2 linked regions of the Coturnix japonica genome follow. The protein of the gene in region 1 interacts with the protein of each later gene in a biochemical or structural test. Links are inferred from orthologs where the notes say so. Each region holds a gene or a part of one and is shown in the gene's direction. Other genes may lie near its edges. The genes, in order: TOP2A and PIAS4.

What was found.
Region 2: of the proteins of TOP2A (region 1) and PIAS4, one has a biochemical effect on the other in vitro, tested with the Homo sapiens proteins (2 studies listed by BioGRID). The link is inferred for Coturnix japonica from reciprocal best matches to the Homo sapiens genes TOP2A and PIAS4.

What each region holds. Positions count from the first base shown.
Region 1 is NC_029542.1:4,094,009-4,110,549, reverse strand, and holds the start of TOP2A (DNA topoisomerase 2-alpha), read left to right. Parts: upstream 1-3,058; 5' UTR 3,059-3,073; coding exon 3,074-3,370; intron 3,371-3,444; coding exon 3,445-3,591; intron 3,592-4,674; coding exon 4,675-4,765; intron 4,766-5,041; coding exon 5,042-5,105; intron 5,106-5,558; coding exon 5,559-5,704; intron 5,705-5,950; coding exon 5,951-6,048; intron 6,049-6,226; coding exon 6,227-6,439; intron 6,440-6,636; coding exon 6,637-6,810; intron 6,811-6,918; coding exon 6,919-7,020; intron 7,021-7,399; coding exon 7,400-7,537; intron 7,538-7,689; coding exon 7,690-7,828; intron 7,829-8,057; coding exon 8,058-8,215; intron 8,216-8,601; coding exon 8,602-8,727; intron 8,728-8,954; coding exon 8,955-9,065; intron 9,066-9,152; coding exon 9,153-9,258; intron 9,259-9,650; coding exon 9,651-9,760; intron 9,761-10,179; coding exon 10,180-10,272; intron 10,273-10,709; coding exon 10,710-10,824; intron 10,825-11,121; coding exon 11,122-11,243; intron 11,244-11,526; and 18 more. Other genes in the region: collagen alpha-1(III) chain-like, read left to right, coding at 1-10, 95-166, 271-312, 397-424, 621-679, 783-917, 985-1,047, 1,114-1,182 and 4 more. UniProt on the Homo sapiens protein: Key decatenating enzyme that alters DNA topology by binding to two double-stranded DNA molecules, generating a double-stranded break in one of the strands, passing the intact strand through the broken strand, and religating the broken strand.
Region 2 is NC_029543.1:789,525-793,490, reverse strand, and holds the start of PIAS4 (E3 SUMO-protein ligase PIAS4), read left to right. Parts: upstream 1-1,166; 5' UTR 1,167-1,257; coding exon 1,258-1,284; intron 1,285-3,626; coding exon 3,627-3,966.

The sequences.
Region 1 (16,541 bases):
CGTTCCCCATGTGAGACATTGCACCCAGTGTGACATAGAGCCGCCCACCCCAAAAGTCTCTCTGCCCCACATCTCCACACTGCTCTTCCTGCAGGGTCCCCGAGGTCCCCCCGGCCCCCCTGGTCCCCCCGGCCCCCCTGGAGCCCCAGGACTCCTCTACCTCAATGTAAGGCCGTGCACAGGCAGCACACCTCTGTGCCACAGTGCACACGTGTGTGATTGTGCTCAGTGCGAGGTTCTCCCCGTGCATCCTCCTGTCTCTGCTCACAGCGGGTGTACCCCATACGAGGACAGCAGCCCTGCAAGCAGCCGGTAAGCTGCTGCCCCCTCCCTAAGGGCTGTCACCGCCGTGCCCCTGTGTCCCAGCAGCAGTAACAGCCCCGTTTGCATTCACAGGCAGCGGCCAGCGCAGCCTGGGCAGTGGGTAAGGGGCTCTGCGGGTATTTGGGTGAACTCCTGCCTCCTTGGAAGCACTTTTGCAAAGCTTCGTGCCCTTGCACCAGGGCCATGGGGTTGTCCCGGTGTCCCCATGGTATCGGGGTGCCCCGTGACCCCAACCCTGCCCCTAAACCCAACCTCAACCCAACTCCAGTCCCACCTTTAACCCAAACCCTCCCCAGCTTCTCCAGATGCTGATATTCCCCACCCAGAGCCGCTGGAGCCCAGTGCCGACCTCCAGGTGCGTGGGGGGCTGTGCCCATGGGTTACCCCCAATGTGTAGGCGGCTCCCCCTGGGCAGGGGGTGTCAGCTGGGCCCTGACCCCCCTCCTTGTCCCTCCCAGCGCCAAACGTGGGTGTTCAGGTCGAAGGAGCTGATGTTGAAGTCCAGCAGCGCCATCCCCGAGGGCAGCCTGGTCTACGTGCGGGAGGGGAGCAGCGCCTTCCTGCGCACCCCCCGGGGCTGGAGCAGGCTGCTGGTACCGTCATGGGATTGGGGGGGGGGACACACACTGTGTCTGGTCCCACCTAACTGCCCTTCTGCAGCTGGAGGACTCGGAGTCGCTCTTTGCGGGTGACGACCCCTCCGCCGCCACAGCACAATACCAGGTGAGGCAAAGGGACAGACCCCCGGGGGGGGTGCCCCCCTGGGACTGCCCTCCCCTCTCCGTGCAGGAGGCAAAGCAGGCACGGACACGAGGTCCCAGCACAGAGCCACCCTCGGGGGTCCGGGCGGACTCAGTGGTGAGCAGAGGGATGGAGGTGGCACCTGGAGACCCCGGGTGGCAATGGGAGCACCCTGGGCACTGAGACTGCCATCCCCCACTATTGCAGGCCCTGCAGGAGGACGGAGCTGTGCTGCCCAGCACCCCGCCGACCACCGCAGCCCCCAGGATGCCCTCTGTAAGCGTTGCCCCATTTTCTGCCCCCTTCCAACCCCACGCTGCCTGGGGACCCCAACTCCACCCACCGTGTCCGTGGGTCTGCATAGGAAAAGCGATCTCAGTGCCCAGCGCGGGGGGCTGCAGTGCCCCATGGGGTGTGCGATGATGGCACACACCCCGGGACCCCCGGCCCCCCACGCTCTGCCCCCTGCTGTCCCCGCAGCTCCGCCTGGTGGCCCTGAACGTGCCCCTGTCCGGGGACATGAGCGGTATCCGCGGTGCCGACCTGCAGTGTTACCGGCAGTCCCACGAGGCCGGGCTCTACGGAACCTTCCGGGCGTTCCTGTCGGCCCCCAGCCAGGACCTGGCCTCCATCGTCAAGAGGACGGACAGGACCCTCCCCATCGTCAACCTGAAGGCAGGGCTTTATCCCCCCAGCAAGCACGGGCTCCCCGTGTGTTTTCCTTGCACCGAGACGCACCCACAGCCATTGCAATGGGGACAGCGGGCTTTGAGGAACGCTTGTCCCCCCCCCAAAGCTCACTGCCCCCCCCCAAAGCTCATTGCCCCCCCCGTGTCCTTAGGGCCAGCTGCTGGCTCGCTCCTGGAGCTCCCTCCTGCAGAGCCCGGCTGGAGCCGCCCTGCGCAGCCCCATCTACACGTTCAATGGGCGCAACGTGCTGAGCGATGCCCTTTGGTGAGTCCCGGCCCACGAAGGGTGGGATGTCGGGGGGTCTCCCCGGGGCTCCCCGTCATCCCGTCTCCCCGCAGGCCCCGCAGGTTGGCGTGGCACGGATCCACGGGGCGGGGCGGCCATTCCCAGCGCCGGGACTGTCAGGGCTGGCGGAGCTCCGGCCCCGGGGAGGGTCTGGCGGCCCCGCTGGGTCCGGGCCGGCTGCTGGCCGGGCAGCGCCGAAACTGCTCCGAGGAGCTGGCGGTGCTGTGCGTGGAGGTCGCCTTCCCGTACCGACACATGTGGTGAGAGACCCCCGGAATTGGGGGGGGCTGCGGCTGGGAGCAGCGGGACACCGGACACCCCGTCCATCACGGAGCCCCCCCCCCCCCCCCCACACACACACAGCGCCCACGTTTCCTCGGATATAAATAAAGGATCAATCAAAGCTGCACATCGGGCGGTTACAACGCGCTGCTTCTATTTGTTGCGTTCGGGATGGCACCAAATGGAACCGAATGGAACCAAATGGAACCGAATGGAACCGCCGTGCGGGATGAACGGGATGGGCGGGATGGGCGGGCGGGGATGGGGCTGATATGGGGCAGGTATGGGGCTGATATGGAGTTGATACGGGGCAGATATGGGGCTGGGATGGGGCAGATATGGAGCTGATATGGGGCTGATATAGGGCTGATATGGGGCTGATATAGGGCTGATATGGAGCTGATATAGGGCTGGGATGGGGCTGATATAGGGCTGGGATGGGGCTGATATAGGGCTGATATGGGGCTGATATGGGGCTGATATAGGGCTGATATTGGGCTGATATAGGGCTGATATGGAGCTGATATGGGGCTGATATGGGGCTGATATGGGGTTGATATAGGGCTGATATGGGGCTGATATAGGGCTGGATATGGGGCTGGATATGGGGCTGGATATGGGGCTGGATATGGGGCTGGATATGGGGCTGGATATGGGGCTGGATATGGGGCTGGGATGCCGCCGTGGTGCTGAGGATGGTTTTGGGGGGGCACAGTCCCGCACTGCCCCGCACGCCGCCGCCCCCCAAACGATGTACTGCGTGCCTCGCAGCGCCCTCCTTCCTCGCTCCTCTATTGGTTACCAGACCTGCCCATCAAGCAGCCCCCTCTCCCGACTGTCTGGTTTTGAAAGAGCGGAGCGCACGGGAGGGCGGGCCGTACGTCCCTCCGCCCTTCAGCGATTGGCTGTTTTCAAGGGGCGGTGCGCTGTGATTGGCGGAGCGTTTCGGCGGGCTCGGCGGAGGTTTGAAACGCGCTGCGCCGTTACCGGCCGCCATCACTCCGCGCCCGCCGCCATGGAGCTCATGGACTCACCGGCGCCGCTCCGGGTACGTGAGGGACCGACCAGACCCTCCCTCCATCCCTCCCTCCCCACCCCGCTGAGCTCCGCTCTCTCCCGCAGCCCCTTCACGACAACGCCCGGCTGCCCAAGGCCGATGTGGCGCAGAAGCGGCTCTCGGTGGAGCGCATCTACCAGAAGAAGACGCAGCTGGAGCATATTCTGCTGCGGCCGGACACGTACATCGGGTCTGTGGAGACCGTCACGCAGGTGGGGAGACCTGTGATGTGTGATATATGTGTGATATATGTGTGATGTATGTGTGATGTATGTGTGATGTATGTGTGATGTATGTGTGATGTATGTGTGATACATGTGTGATACATGTGTGATACATGTGTGATATATGTGTGATGTGATATATGTGTGATACATGTGTGATACATGTGTGATACATGTGTGATACATGTGTGATACATGTGTGATGTATGTGTGATGTATGTGTGATGTATGTGTGATGTATGTGTGATGTATGTGTGATATATGTGAGATATATGTGTGATATATGTGAGATATATGTGTGATATATGTGTGATATATGTGTGATATATGTGCTGTGTGTGGTGTATGTAATGTATGTGGTGTGTATGTGGTATATGTGGTGTATGTAATGTATGTGGTATGTGACATGTATGTGACATGTATGTGACATGGGGTGTATGTGACATGTATGTGACATGGGGTGTATGTGGTGTATGTAATGTATGTGGTGTATGTAATGTATGTGGTATATATGATATATGTGCTATATGTGGTGTGTGTAATGTATGTGGTGTCTGTAATGTATGTGGTATATGTGATATATGTGGTATATGTGGCAAATATGGTATATGTGGTGTATGTGGTATATGTAATGTATGTGGTGTATGTAATGTATGTGGTATATATGATATATATGTGATATATGTGCTATACATGGTGTATGTGATGTATGTGGTATATGTAATGTATGTGGTATATGTGATATATGTGGTATGTATTATATATGTGGTGTATGTATTGTATGTGGTATGTATATGTGGTGTATGTAATGCATGTGGTATATATAATATATGATATATGTGCTATATGTGGTGTATGTGATGTATGTGGTATATATGATATATGTGCTATATGTGGTGTGTGTAATGTATGTGGTATATATGGTATATGTGGTGTATGTAATGTATGTGGCATGTGTGATATATGTGGTGTATGTGGTATATATGATATATGTGGTGTATGTGATATATGTGCTATATGTGCTATATGTGGTGTATGTGTGTGCTGTATGTGGCTCCTTCTTCATTGCAGCAAATGTGGGTGTTCGATGAGGACGTGGGCCTCAACTGCAGGGATGTGACCTTCGTGCCTGGCCTGTACAAGATCTTCGATGAGATCCTGGGTGAGTGCAGCCCAGCATTGTACCTGCCCTCCAAAGGACACGGCCGCTGTGTTACAGCCCGTTTAACCCTCAGTTCTGCTGTGGGTGCTGTTATTGTAGCGTCCTTCTTTGTAACCTGCCAAACATCTCCCTTCCAAAGAGTTAATTGGTGGTTTTGCATTGGATCTTTGCATTTGTTCTACTGAAAACCCCACCTGATTTAGCCCTTTCACTATGGTTTATGTCTATTGTCCCACTTGTGAATGCGCTCTAATAAAAGTCACCTTCCCCTTCCAGTCAACGCTGCAGACAACAAGCAGAGGGATAAAAGCATGTCCTGCATCAAAGTTACCATCGACCCGTGAGTGCTGCTTTTGTCCAATGCCTTCCCCCCTCAGCTGCTTCATTCTCTCACTCCCTCACTGCCCTGTTGGTGTATGTACATCATCCTGTTGATGTAGGTGCTGCAGAGCTCAGTGTCGAGGCCTATTCATGTTAAACCTACCGTGGCTCATGGGCTGTAACAGCCTCATTCCTTGTGTGCTTCCTCGTTCTGTTGCAGAGCACTGACTGCCAGGCTGTGGTTGCACTGAGCACACGCTTTCTGTGTGCTGCTCCATTGTATTGGTGCTCTGCAGGTCTGAAGCTGGAGGGCTTTTTGTAGACTTGCCCTCCCTCTGCTGGCTGCTGCCGCAGTTGCTGAACAGGAATCTGTCTGTAGATGAAATGGTGGCCTTCCTGTGGAGATCTTGTCTATTTGTTTCAGAGCTCAGTCATCTGCAGCCTTACAAATTATACTTTCCTCCTCCTCCAGAGAGAATAACACCATCAGTGTGTGGAACAATGGGAAGGGTATCCCAGTTGTTGAACACAAAGTAGAAAAAGTGTATGTTCCTGCTTTAATCTTTGGGCAGCTGCTGACATCCAGCAACTACGATGATGATGAGAAGAAAGTCACAGGTAGGGAACACTGCAGAGCGTGCAGATGTACCTGGGCAGCCTGACTGTGTGATCTGGGAACTGAAGTACCTATATGAGTAACTGGTGTTAATTAAATGCAGCTTTATAGTGGCTGCAGGGTTTGTGGGACAGTTTATTGTTAGTCATACTTGGTGCTGAAATGAATGAGCTCTTGTTGGTCTGGAGTTCTCTCTGGTGGTTTTGAGCAAAGGTAACAACTCAGACATGTTTTCTTCCTGAATCCAGGTGGGCGAAATGGTTATGGAGCCAAACTGTGCAACATATTCAGCACCAAATTTACCGTGGAGACTGCGTGTCGTGAATACAAAAAGCTGTTCAAGCAGGTATGAACACTGCCCATTTCAGTGAGGTCACACCTGAGATTTGCAAATATGACTTGAGTTTTTCCTATGTGAATCTAGGTGTCATTGCTGTGACTAGAATTAACCTGGTACCTGTTAGATACTGTGCTGCTTTCTTGTGTTTGTTACACTCACAACTGACAACAACTCATCTCCTCAGACCTGGACAGACAACATGGGGAAGGCCGGTGAAATGACACTGAAGCATTTTGATGGGGAGGATTACACGTGTGTCACCTTCCAACCTGATCTGTCAAAGTTCAAAATGTCGATTCTTGACAAGGACATCGTGTCCCTGATGACAAGAAGAGCATATGATTTGGCTGGGTCATGCAAAGGAGTCAAAGTTATGTTGAATGGGAAGAAGTTGCCTGTAAGTGAGCATTTAAATGGGGGAACATCTGTGTTTCTTATGACATTTACCAGTGAAGTTTTGTTGAAGCAGTTTATGCCATTGCACATAATAAAATGAAAGCTTGCCAAGCAATTTTTCCTCCTGGCTTTGCAGGGGGATGTGCATTAAGTATTTATAGGAGCTGTTACAGATGAGTTGTCTGGTTTCATTTGTAGGTGAAAGGATTCCGCAGTTACGTGGACCTCTATCTGAAGGACAAAGTGGATGAGACTGGAAATGCACTTAAGGTTATTCATGAGGAAGTGAATTCCAGGTGGGAAGTGTGCTTGACTTTAAGTGAAAAAGGATTCCAGCAAGTTAGCTTTGTCAACAGCATTGCCACCACAAAGGTGATTCTTTTGCTCCCGTGCTCACATTCACTTCATATTCTTTGTTGTTGGCTCTGTGTTTTGGTTCAGTGGAGTCACCTCAGGTTCTTTGGTCCCGTTTTCCCCCAGGGTGGCAGGCACGTTGATTACGTAGCTGACCAGATTGTGACTAAACTCATTGATGTTGTGAAAAAGAAGAACAAAAATGGAGTTGGAGTGAAACCGTTTCAGGTGCGATGTCAGAATTCCCAACTAAAGAAGCCCCATATATTCCAGTTTAAGCCACCAAGCCATATTCCCTTTGTTTAGCTGCAGCAATCAGAGTGCTCTGGGTCAGTAAGGAAGCATTACAGCTCAGTAGCTGTTAGGTTTTCTTTAGTGGGAGGGCTGCTGATGTCTTGGCACCCCAAATCATGTAACTTTGTGAACACTCATTAGCTGTCCTAAATTCTGCCAAAAGACATCTAGGAAAGTTCAAAAACCACGCAGCAATAATTGAACTTGTTTTCCTCGCTGCATGATGCTGACAGGTGATTCTCAGGAAGAAAACACTGCTGTTCCAGGGAGTGGAGCCTGTGCAGTTTGTAATGCTCGTCTTGTTTGCCTGCAGGTGAAGAATCACATGTGGATTTTTGTGAATTGCTTGATTGAAAACCCAACCTTTGACTCTCAGACTAAAGAGAATATGACTCTGCAGGCCAAGAGCTTTGGCTCGACGTGCAAGCTGAGTGAGAAATTTATCAAGGGTGTAAGTATTGGTGTGTGTGGATAATCAGCACGTCTGTAAAGCTGCAACTAACATGGCAAATACATGGCTTACAAAGTCATGAATTAAAGGAAAACATAACTTAAAGCTTTTCCCACTGTTGATTTTGTTCTGTAATTTTGTTGGCATTGCAGGCAGTTGGCTGTGGCATTGTTGAAAGTATCCTAAACTGGGTAAAATTTAAAGCTCAGACCCAGCTGAATAAGAAATGTTCAGCTGTGAAGCACACCAAGATTAAGGGCGTTCCTAAACTGGATGATGCCAATGATGCTGGTAAGTATTTCACATCCTTTGTAGCCAGTTTCTTCAGAGATAACATTTGCTCACCAGGCAAATGAAACAATCATCTAAAGAAAACGCCAGCTTGTGCTCGTTTTGCATTGCAGTTTGTGCAGTGCAGCCAGACCTGTATATTTTATGGTGTCTCCTGCAGCCTGTGCTATATTAGCCTTGACTTCACTTCTTAATTGGAAGACTTGGGTTTTTGCTTTTTGTTTTTCAGGCAGCAAGAATTCAATAGATTGTACACTCATCCTGACCGAGGGAGACTCAGCCAAAACGCTGGCTGTCTCTGGTTTAGGAGTGGTTGGTAGAGACAAATATGGAGTATTTCCCCTTCGTGGGAAAATGCTCAACGTCAGGGAAGCTTCTCATAAACAGGTTAGTGGGGAGACCTTAATAGCCTGTGCTGGGAGCTGTGGTGTGCTTCATGTCATGCAGTGTGGGTACAGCTGAGGGCTTTTGATGCTGTAACTCAAAGGTGTGGGTCTGGTCTCACGTTCAGATTGCCTTTCTGATTAAGCAGGAATACTAAGCAAATCCCGGGCAGTGCTTTGCATTTGTGCTGTGGGCTAGGAAATGTTCTAGGAAATGTTTGAAATAGCCCTGAGAAATTTAAAGATTAGACACTGGGTTGGAATTAATGAGATGCTCTAAACAGAGGAAACTCTGGGAAGGCAGAGCACGGTTAGGGGTGTACAGCCGATGGGTGTCTTTGCTGTTTTGAGTCTGGTAGAAAAGTTTTTATTCCTTGTGATCTTTTCCAGATAATGGAAAATGCTGAAATCAACAACATCATCAAAATTGTGGGTTTACAGTATAAGAAGAATTACGAGGATCGAGAATCTTTAAAGACTCTTCGCTATGGGAAGATCATGATTATGACAGATCAGGTTAGGCTCACTGAAATTCAAAACTGGAGAAATTTGTTCACCACAAATGTGTCTCTTCCTTCTGTTAACTTTCAGTACTCAAAGCGTGGCTGCTTCTTTGGAACTGAAAGTTAATAGTTCTCAGTAGCTGGGTTTGTGTGTATCCTCATTATTGAACTAACAACTGGCACGGCCATCAGGGCTCTGGTTAAACTTGTACTTCTCTCCAAAATAAAACCACCAAACAGGATCAAGATGGATCTCATATCAAAGGTTTGCTGATTAACTTCATCCATCACAACTGGCCTTCTCTTCTAAGACACAACTTCTTGGAGGAATTTATTACCCCCATCATAAAGGTAAGGGCTGAGGAGGTTGGAAGGTGAGGGAATAGGATCATGTTGGACCACATCTGCTTTCACAATTAACATCTTCATTCTCTTTAGGTCTCTAAAAACAAAGAAGAAATTGCATTCTACAGCATTCCTGAGTTTGAAGAATGGAAAAACAGCACACAAAACTACAACACATGGAAAATCAAGTACTACAAAGGTTTGTAGGAAACCTGATATGGTGAAGGCAAGTTTGTTATTAAACTTAGTTAGTCCAGCTTCTGCAGAAAAAAGGGGGTTTGGAGCAGGTGGCCTCCAAAATTCACTTCCCTCCTAAACTGCTCTGAATGGCTGCATGCTGGTAAGGGAGCTGCCAGCTGCATAACAACAGCCGGGTGGTGAGGAATCCAGACTAAAAGTGCAACTGCCCAGTTGTCTTCAATCCCCACTACTTCTGTGATACCTTACATCCCAGCAAAGGTTTTAATAGAACCATCTTCATGCTGTGCATTTATGTGATGTATTACGGAAATTGGATATAGTAATGCCTTCCTTTGAAGTGCAACTTAATTGAAGCAAGAAATTAGGGCTGACTAGTTGTTGGTTCTGCAGGTTTGGGTACCAGCACATCGAAGGAGGCAAAGGAATACTTTGCAGATATGGCTAGACATCGAATTGGCTTCAAGTACTCTGGTCCAGAAGATGATGCTGCCATCACCCTGGTAACTTACACTTGACTTAATTGCTGATTTACTACCTTGAGTATTTTGCTGCGTATTTTCTCTTAAAATGCTCTCAGAGGCCTTTGGGCCTGAGATGGTCTCTTTGTTACCAAGGCTACAGCCTCAGTTCAACCAGTAGAAGCAAATCTGTCCACAGACCTCAGGCCAGGAGCACCCTTTCAATGATGGCTTTTAAATATAGCTCAGAACAAACTATAACCACTACAAACCAATTGACATTTTCAGACACAATAGTAAATATTCCTTCAGCATTATTCTGTGTGTTTACCTGCAGTTTCCTCTGAGCTAAACCTCTCCTTTCTCCTCTAAAATTTTTTCTCCTGAAATGGTTCACCAGTGTTCCAGTAGGGCACACAGAATGTCCCAGAACTTGAATTATTTCTTAATTTGCAACACAGGCCTTTAGTAAGAAGAAGGTAGAAGAACGAAAGGAATGGCTGACTAATTTCATGGAGGATAGAAGACAGCGGAAGCTGCATGGCCTGCCGGAGGTAAAGAGTTTATGTATATGGAGGAATTTGATTTCCCATCTCCCTGTTCTCAGTTTAATTCTGACACGCTAGGGCTGGATGCAGTGTAGGCATTGGGTTACGCACAGGACTGATAGGTAATGCTTTGGGATTCTGCAGACCTGCTGCTCCTTTTTGCATTGTATAACCTCAGTGTCATCAAGTCGATCATTCTTTCCATTTCTAACTCTTTCAAACTACTTTATTCAAAAGGGAAATGGCAGCTTGAGCAGAACTAGGTGAAGGTGTTTCAGGGGAAGCATTGTTTTGTTTTTCCATGCTGAGAATGTCGTCACCTTCGCTGTGTTTACCTGTAGTCTTACCAGGATCTTCCATTTTAGTGAAACTAGCCAAGTGTGAGCTAAGAAACAGGTTAAGCCTTGTTAAAATTAAAGCGCTCTTGCATTTGTTTTTCTTAGGACTACCTGTATGGGAAAGATACTAATTACCTGACATACAACGACTTCATCAACAAGGAGTTGGTCCTGTTCTCAAACTCAGATAATGAAAGATCGATCCCATCCCTGGTTGATGGTAAGTTATTTCAAGGCAGTGATTTCATACAGGGCTTTCCCAGGACGCACTGAGGGATGTTTTGGTGTGTCCTACCAGAACGGTTGTTTGGGTGCATTTCAGGGTTTGTGTTCTGAACTCCACTTTTCTACCTTCCAAGTGTTTTAACCTTTGGATTAAATGTCTTCTCTGCTCTATATTTAACTCCAGTGGTGCAGAATCTTCAGGTCTCTAAGTTACTGTTAGTCTCTAGAGAACGGAAGATAAGTGAAACATATTGTGAGTCTGAAACACGAGGTCTTTTTTTTCTCTGTGCAGGTTTAAAACCAGAGCAGCGCAAGGTTTTGTTCACTTGCTTTAAGAGAAATGATAAACGTGAAGTAAAGGTTGCTCAGCTGGCTGGTTCTGTTGCTGAAATGTCAGCTTATCACCATGGGGAGGTAAGAACCCGCTCATTGTGCAAAATGCTTGAAGAAAAGCAGAAATCTCTCAATTTCATGAGATTGGCCACTCTGCCCATCTTACCTGCAGCTCAGGGGAACGTGTTTCATTAAGAAAACAGAACGGGAAAAACCTGCTTTATTTGTGATGGATATGAGAGGATATCTTTTATTAGCTGAATTTATCTTCTATATTGGTTCTGTTCTCAGTGTAAATTTTACCTTAACGTTGTCCTTTCAGTGAAGAATTAACACTTTTATAATTGAACCTTCTTTCGTGCAGGCATCGCTGATGATGACTATTGTCAACTTGGCTCAGAACTTTGTTGGAAGTAACAATGTTAATCTTCTACAACCTATTGGTCAGTTTGGTACCAGGCTTCATGGTGGAAAGGATGCTGACAGCCCTCGCTGTATTTCCACTATGCTAAGGTTGGCATTAAAGTGTTGTTAAGTATTTTCAGCATTGTTACAAGACTCTATTTAACAGCATTTAAAATGAAAAGTAATGTTTTCCCCTAAAGTATCTGAAACTGCACCATTTGAATACAAAAGAGCAGCCACAGTCTGTGGGACTTTGATTCTAGATCCAGATGTGTGAACTTGGTTTGCTGTCCTACAGAACAGATAGGAACAGCATGGAATGCAGAAATGAGAGCAAAACAAACACCCAGACTGGTTCATATGGTGGGGAATAAAACATGCCATGATCTGTTTGGTCTGACACTGGAGGTTCTTTTTACATTGCAGGCACTGTTGTGTAATGAGAATTTGGTCTGACCTTCTCTTTTCTCTTCTAGCCCTTTAGCCAGGCTTCTTTTTCCACCAGTGGATGACAACTTGCTGAAATTCCTTTATGATGACAACCAACGTGTAGAGCCTGAATGGTATATGCCCATCATTCCTATGGTTTTAGTAAACGGAGCTGAAGGAATCGGTACTGGATGGGCTTGCAAACTTCCAAACTATGATACCAGAGAGATTGTAAACAACATCAGACGAATGCTGGATGGAAACGAACCGCTGCCGATGGTAAATGATGTATTCAAGAATCAACGTCTCATTTGTTGGTTTATTCAGCATATATTGAAGCATATGCTGCTTTTTTTTTTTTGAGTGCTTGCAATCCAGTGTTTGGTTTCTTTCCTTCTTAGCTTCCCAGCTACAGGAATTTCAAAGGCACAATAGATGAGCTTGGACCTAACCAGTATGTGATAAGTGGTGAAGTGTCTATCCTTGATTCTACAACCATTGAAATCACTGAGCTGCCTGTCAGAACATGGACACAGGTAACGAATGCTGAATTTGCCCTGTAAAGTAAAAAGTGAATATTAGTGTTCATTAACTTTTCATCTCTGTAGAACCACAGGTCTGACTTTGATTCTTTTCTCAGACCTACAAAGAGCAAGTTCTGGAACCTATGTTGAATGGAACTGAGAAGACCCCCCCATTAATTACTGACTACAAGGAATACCACACTGATACGACTGTGAAATTTGTTGTGAAGATGACAGAAGAAAAACTTGCACAGGCAGAAGCTGCTGGATTGCACAAAGTCTTTAAGCTTCAAACAAGTCTTACTTGCAATTCTATGGTATGTAATAGATTTTGATGAAGAGAGTTTCTAAATTCACCTTTAAAAGGTGAAGAGACTGACTTGGCAGTGGGTCCCACATGGTGTGGATTTGACTGTAGGTGTCAAAGCGATCTGAAATCTCTCAGTCCCTGGAGCCCCTTGCTGTGCCCAGGACACACCACTGAATGTCCAGGTCCTGACAGCGTGTGATGTTAGATGCAAGAAATGGATCCAACAAATAGCTTTAAGATTGAAGTGATGTTAGCTCTGTGTTTTTAAGTTCTAAAATGGTCTCTGCTGCTGTGCTTGCAAGCTGAAATAATTTCTGAAACAACACTAAGGTTTAAAATGGGTTGGTTAATAAATAAGTTGACTGTAGGATCATGTCTGCGTTACAACTGACTTTCAGTGGTTTTGAAGATCAGTTTTATGCTCACAAAACCCATGTTCTTTCATCCAGGTTCTTTTCGACCATGTTGGTTTCCTCAAGAAGTACGAGTCTCCTCAGGACATCCTTAAAGAGTTCTTTGAGCTCAGGCTCCGGTACTATGGGTTAAGGAAAGAGTGGCTTATTGGGATGCTGGGTGCCGAGTCTGCAAAGCTGAGCAACCAGGCTCGATTCATCCTGGAGAAAATAGATGGCAAAATTGTGATCGGTACGTGCTGCTCTTGGTTCTTTGGCTTTTGAAACTGGGAGAATTAGGTGCTCTCTTGAGCTCTGTCAGCGCCCTCTCAGCCCCAGTCTGGCTATTCACAAAACACATCAGAGCTTATCTTTCCATTCTAGTAAGATAGAAGAGGAAAATGCTTCACGGAACATCCTCTGTAGTGTTATGCACATATAAATTAAAACAGAGCACTCTCAGAGGTTTTCTATTGTGTATTTGCACTACTTCAAAAGTATAAATGTAGGAAAAGAAGTGCTGGTGTGGGGGGCTGGGGGGGGTTCCCAGTTGGTTTGGGTTTTCTGTTCCCGTGCATTCTTAGGAGCCTGTATCTTCTCTGTGTTATCTTTATGAAACTGCAAAATATTCCAAATTGTGTTCTCAGTGAAGTGGAGTTTCAAAGTTAGAAGGCAGCCAAGCTCACAGCATCTGAGCATCATGAGCTAGAAAAAGAAACAGGTCTTTGTTTACAGCACTTGAACTTCTCAGCCAGCTCCAGCTCAGCCTACAAGGCAGTCTGTATTTCACTTGCATGTATGGAAGGCACAGCTGCACAATGGGTCATGGGATGCTCTGTGGTTCGTGTCTGAGGGCTGCCCAGTGTTCCTACAGTCTGTGTCTGTTTGACTCAAGAAGGGAAATCGTTCCCTTGCAATGCGTTTCCTTGGGTTGCTGCAATAAGCAGTTCCAAGGCTGACAGAGCTGGTTTCATTTGTATTTGTGTCTCACGGATGATTGCCTCTGCGACATCAGAAAGAAGAAAATTCCAGCTGACGCATTACCATTGGCTGGGCCATTTATAGAATAGATTTCCCAAGTGATGCCCAATGAGGCTCACACTATGCTGAAGCCTTGAAGTCACATCAGGGCTTTTTCCCCCACCTGCCTGTTATAAAACCATTCTGATCCCATCACGCTTCCTTTTTTTCCCCAAACTCAGAGTCTGTTTAGGGCAGGGGAAATGCATGTACGGAAATGATGGAGCAAATGTTTCGAGTGCTCCAGCAGGTGTTCCTGACAGCCCAGGAGAAATGCTGAGCTAACAAATCGCTCCTAAATAGCAAATTTTGGGTGTTATTTTAGGACCTGCCACGTGTCCCAGCTCGAATTAGGAAAGGCTGTTTTAGAGCTGTATAGGATGCTGAACTGTTTTAACTACTGGAGTCAAAATGTGAAGGTCATTTGTCTTTGCTGACAGGGACTGCAGTGGTCACTAACTGGCAATTCTGAAATGTCTCTTCACAGAAAACAAACCCAAGAAAGAACTGATTCAAGTTCTTATCCAAAGAGGATATGAATCAGATCCAGTGAAGGCCTGGAAGGAATTGCAAAACAAGGTAGCACTTCAGTCATCAATTCGTTATCAGTTCTTAGGAAGAAGCAGAAGCTGCTTTGCCATTTGGAGAATTCAAGAGCTGGTGTGCCTGATAGGGAAAGCGAGACAAAGAAATGTTCAGTCTCTCATTTGGAAGGCACTGAGGCAGAGTGGTGACTGATCCAGCAGTGGCAAAGTCCTGCTGCTTCCATTTCCAGTGCTCCTCAAGCGATCTGCTCTTCCTGAGCGACTTGTTGTAAAAGGGCAGCAAGGACGATGGCAATTGTTAAGCAGCCTGAGAAGAACTTGGTTGCTCAAGACAGAGGCCAAATAGGGCAGAGCAAAAGAGCTTTAAAGAATTCTTTGCAGTTGGTCTCCTCTGTGTGGTAGCAGCTTTCAGGCCATAATTCCTTCTGTATCCTTTTCAGAATTGTGCTTTAAGAGGGTCCAGGACACTGTGAGCACATGGCAGCCCTGTCATTGTATGTGGCTGTATTTGCTGACAATGTTTGATTAAATTCTCATTCAGGAGGAAGAAGAAGAAGGAGATGAGAGTGACCAGGAACCAGCTGCAGCTACGGGGCCGGATTTCAACTATCTTCTGAACATGCCCCTTTGGTACCTGACTAAGGAGAAGAAAGATGAGCTCTGCAAGCAGAGAGATAACAAAGTATGCTCCTTATTTTTCTGATGAAAGCATTCTATTTTTCTATGATGGGTTAAACTATGCGGCTCACCCACGATTCTCATTCACTTTAGGAAAAGGAGCTGGAAGACCTGAAGCGCAAGAGCCCCTCTGACCTGTGGAAAGAAGACCTTGCTGCCTTTGTTGAAGAGCTGGATGTACGTCAGTGCTCTGAACAGATGATTGGCTCCCTTGTAGCTTTATCCAGTTATTAACTGAATTCTTTGCCATACAAAGGAAACAACAGATGGAAATTTGTATGTCTTGCATTAGGTTCACTCCAATAGGAGTTAAAGCTTTCTTTGCCTTCCTAGGATAGGGTAGGAGTACTGTGCTGGGGGGCAGGCAGTCAAACCACCAAGGAGGCTGGGGTATTTTCCAGTAGGACACTGGCTTTTATTCTCATGGTTGTGTTACTTTATGTTTGATTCTGCAGGCGGTAGAAGCCAAGCAAATGCAGGATGAAATGGCAGGGATAACTGGCAAACCTTTAAAGGCAAAAGGAGGGAAACAAGGAGGGAAGCAAAAGGTGACAAAGGCACAGCTGGTGGAAGTGATGCCGTCACCTCATGGCATAAGGGTTGTTCCTAAGATCACTGCAGAAATGAAGGCGGAGGCAGAAAAGAGAACTAAAAAGAAGATAAAGGTAAGAAATATATGGATGCTCCAAACACTGTTATTAGATCTTCCCCAATACAGGCAGTCCTGTAGAAACACGTTCTTGTTAGCTGAACTTAACCGTGCCATTCAGCTTCCTGCAGCCTGAAATACAGAAATGGCTGTATTTCTGTATATATATCCACCTGTGCTGGCCTGCAGTCAGCTGCTGCTCCTTTCCTCTGGATGATTCCATCTAACAGCTTTTCCAGTTACATTTGCACTGTTGATTTCACTCACCCTGTTTGAGTTCTGCATCCCCAACACGCCCCGGGGCTGTGCCATCAGCACACAGGCAGTCCCAAGGCACGCTCAGGTGTGGCCATAAAGTTCCTGCTTGTGTTGTGCCTGACCTGGTGGTACTTTGCCTGATGTACTCAGTAGTGATCGATTGCAGATG
Region 2 (3,966 bases), on another chromosome or scaffold:
AACGCTGACGTCAACCGCCCCCCTTTTATAGGGCGGCGCCGGCCGGAAGGAGGAGCCTACGCGTGCGCGTGCGCAGATGCGACTATCTAGCACCCCCCGCTGCCGGCAGCTCTATGGTCGGGCGGTCAGGTCCTCCGAGGGCCGCAGTCAGGATCCACGCGGTCCCCGCTCAGAACCCGCAGCGGAAACAACGCGGTCACAGCGGGTACAACCCGGACAACGTGCCCGGGGCGCTGCTCAAGGCCTCGAGAGCGGCTCCGCCTTTACCCGGAGCGCTGGGCCGTCCAAAGCGGCACCGGGCCGGGCTGGGCGAGCACCGCCCATAGCGGCGTCTATGGACTAGGTGCGCATGCACCGGCCGGAACTGCGGAGGGCATGGAGCTCACTAGCGCCCCCTGCAGGCCGGGAGGAGCGGGGGTGGGCAGGGGGCTGCAATGGAGGCACGGGATGGAAGTAGTGTGATGTCTGTGTTATGGAGCGCAAATATCAGCTCGAAAACTGGAGGTCTTCTATTGAGACATCAATAGATTCCTCTATCTATAGAGCCCTCTGATCCCTCTATCAATAGATGGGTTTTGAGTGATGTTTTCTAGTTGATGAGCCTCACTGCAACTTAGGGACACGCTGCTGGCCCCATTGTGTTATTGTTATTATTAGGATTAGGACCCCATTATTATTGTTATTAGGATTGTATTCAGAGAGACTGACAACACAGCACCCAACCTGACACCCCAGCCATACGTAAGGAACTCAGGACACTGGTAAGCCAGTCCGAGCACACTGTCTGTGATGTCAATTAGGCTGAAAGGCAGCCAGGCAGGTATCCCCATCACCGGCTCCCATAGGCTAAATACATTACAAATATCACCATGCTCAGAAGCTGGGACTATAAGCACATATAGGCATATAATGACCCTCAGTCCTAACCCGTCCCCTTCCCTCTCCCCGTACCCATGTAAGGCAGCCCACAGGTAAAGAAAAGAAAGCAGGAGAGCTGTCATTAGCTCTGCTGTCCTCCCTCCATCCCCGCATCCTCCATCCTCTCCGTCCCGTTTTAGGGGCGCGGTCCCTTTAAGACCCCCGGAAGGCGGAGCGGGGCGGGGTGGCTCTATTGCGCCTGCGCGTTGCGGCGGCGGCCTCCGAGGTGAGGAACTCGAAATTGATTGGTCGACGCGTCTCCCGCGCGCCCCTCCCCTCGCCGCTAGGCGTCACGTGACCCGGCGGCGGCTCCCGGCGCGGTGGACGCTGGAGGCCAAGATGGCGGCGGAGCTGGTGGAGGCCAAAGTGAGTGAACGGCGGCGGCGGAGGCGGCTCGGAGAGACCGGGCCGGGCGGGAGCGGGATGAGGGCTCAGCTGCCGCCCCTCACAGCGCGGAACCGGCGGCGGGCGGGGCGGTTCGACGGGTGGGAGCTGGGGGGCGGCACCCCGGGACCGCCCCCCCCCTCCCCGCCATCCCGGTTCGTTGTCCCGTTTTACCTCAGGGCCGAACATCCCCGGGATGAGGCCTGTGCGGGGCTAAAGGCCTCGGGGCGGGGCGGCAGCAACGGGGCTGCCCTGCATCCATCTCCTGTCACAGCCCACAAGGGACAAGGGCTGCTTGTGGTGGCAATGGGAGGGCGGGGGGCGGCCCAACTGAGTGCCCACCCTATAACCTGTAACCTATAGCCTATAACCTGTAGCCTATAAACTATAGCCTATAACCTATAGCCTATAACCACCCAGTGTTTGAGTTGGGGGGGGCTGTGAGTGCCCCCCTGTAATATATAACCTATAACCTATAACCAACCAGTGTTTGAGTTGGGGGGGGGGCTGTGAGTGCCCCCCTATAACCTATAACCTGTAACCTATAACCACACAGTGTTTGGGGGGGGCTGTGAGTGCCCTGAGTGCCCCCCTATAACCTATAACCACCCACTGTTTGGGGGGGGGCTGTGGAGCTCCTGACCCCCCCACTCAGTGCTCCCCCAATATTGAGTTATTATGGGGCTCATAGAGAGGTTGTGTGGCACTCTTGGCTCTATGGTGCAGCTGTTTGAAGGGATCCGCTTGGTTGAGCCCATCCCTGCAGTGGGGTCTCTATGGGGTTGGGGTCAGCCAACAAGCAGGGATGTGGCTGAAAGGAGACGTTTTATGAGGCCCTCTGGTCCCCATCTCACAGCTGTTCGGCCCCTCTTGGTTGCTGTGGGCCCAGGACCCCTCTGCAGGAGATGTGCTGCCTCCTTTACACAGCACAGCTGATGCTCGGAGCCAGGATGGAGCTGACCTCAGTGCTAAGGGATCTCAGCGCTTCATGCAGATCCCAGCCTCAGTGACACGTTGTTATTGTTTAATGAGACTTGCTCTGGAGCAATACAGGTCCTGAATCTAAGGCTGAAGGCTGTTGGTTCCGACCCCAAAGGCTGTTGGTTCTGCAGCAGAAGTGCCAAGTGAGTTGTGCTGTGGGAGCAGTGAGCGTAGGAGCGCTGCTGTGCTGCTGGGAGCAGCGTTGTGGCCGTGCCGTGCTTATCTTTGCTGATACACGTTTATCCTTGAATGTGCCCCAGTGAAGACGGCACGCTCTCCGTTCTGTACCGTTCTGAAGCACAAACTAAATTCCTCCAGGGTCACACAGGTGCTGCATCACAAAGCAATGAACCCACATCTCTTGTCATAGCAGTTAAATGTCCTTCTCTCCTCTTGCAAGTTGTCTGTTTCCTTCCCTCTCCTTCTGGGAGAGCAGAGCCCCGTCCTATGGCTGCTTCTGCTCTTTGCTGTGGGATGGCAGAGGTCTTGAATTCCTGTGTTTTCCACAATCTATGGAAGCTGCGGAGGGGGTACACATGGTTGGCTATCAAGTGGACTCTTAGGGCAGCTTGAATCTTGACAAAAACCTGCTTTATAAGCTTGATGGCCCTTTGCCATGCAAGACAAGCATGACGTCCATCTGACTGCTTTCAGCAGAGGCCATTTCTAGCTCCTAGTCTGCTGTAGCATTGGACTCCCTTTAAACCTGCTGATGGTTCCAGGCCTCCTGAGCTCCCACAGCAGCAGGAAAGTGCATTAGTGAAGGTAGGGATTGTTTTCACCTCTTATCAAAGCACTGACATCCCCAGCAGCAGCCCTGGGTGCTGGCTGTGAGCGTGGGGGAGTGCTTGGCAAAGCCCCCGCCTGCAGGCATTGTTCTCATGGGAACGCACTGCTCTCTTCAGTCTTCTCTTCCCATAGCTGGAAATATACGTGCTCGGTTCTTTCTTCAGGTTCTACATGTCTAAGAAGAGCTCTAGAGGGTTTGTTTTGCCTGTGGAAACAGCACAGAGGTGCACTGAAGGACCAGCAGCCCCCTTCACTTTAGTGTTCTGTTTTCTCCCTTCTTTTGCTCTTTAAACCCTTCAGAGACTCAGGGAAGTGCTTTAAGCTCCTGCCTGGTGTTAATACACTGAGCTGCACTGACACCAGTATGATGTGTGTTGGAGTTTTCTCCTCCGTGCTCACTGTTAGAATCATTGTTGGGTGTCTATCACTTTATTGAGTGACTCGTGTTCTGTGGTCTGGGTGGGTCGGTGGGTTCCGAGCCATAGAGAACAGGAAGAACTTTCTCTTTGCCTTCGTATCACTGTAAGAACATCTTTAATTTTTTTATCCCCTAGAACATGGTGATGAGTTTCCGAGTCTCAGATCTTCAGATGTTGCTGGGTTTTGTTGGCAGGAGTAAAAGCGGACTTAAACACGAACTAGTCACCAGAGCATTGCAGCTGGTCCAATTTGACTGCAGCCCTGAGGTTTTCAAGAAGATCAAGGAGCTCTACGAGACCCGTTATGCCAAGAAGAGCTCCGAGGCCCCGCAGCCGCACCGCTCCCCTGAGGCACTCCCCATTCACTCTTCATACGACCGTGGGAGCGCCATGGCTCGGACTTCTATCTCCACCCCCAACATTGACTATCCCACTCTCTATGGGAAATACCTGAACGAACTGGGCAGGTTGCCCC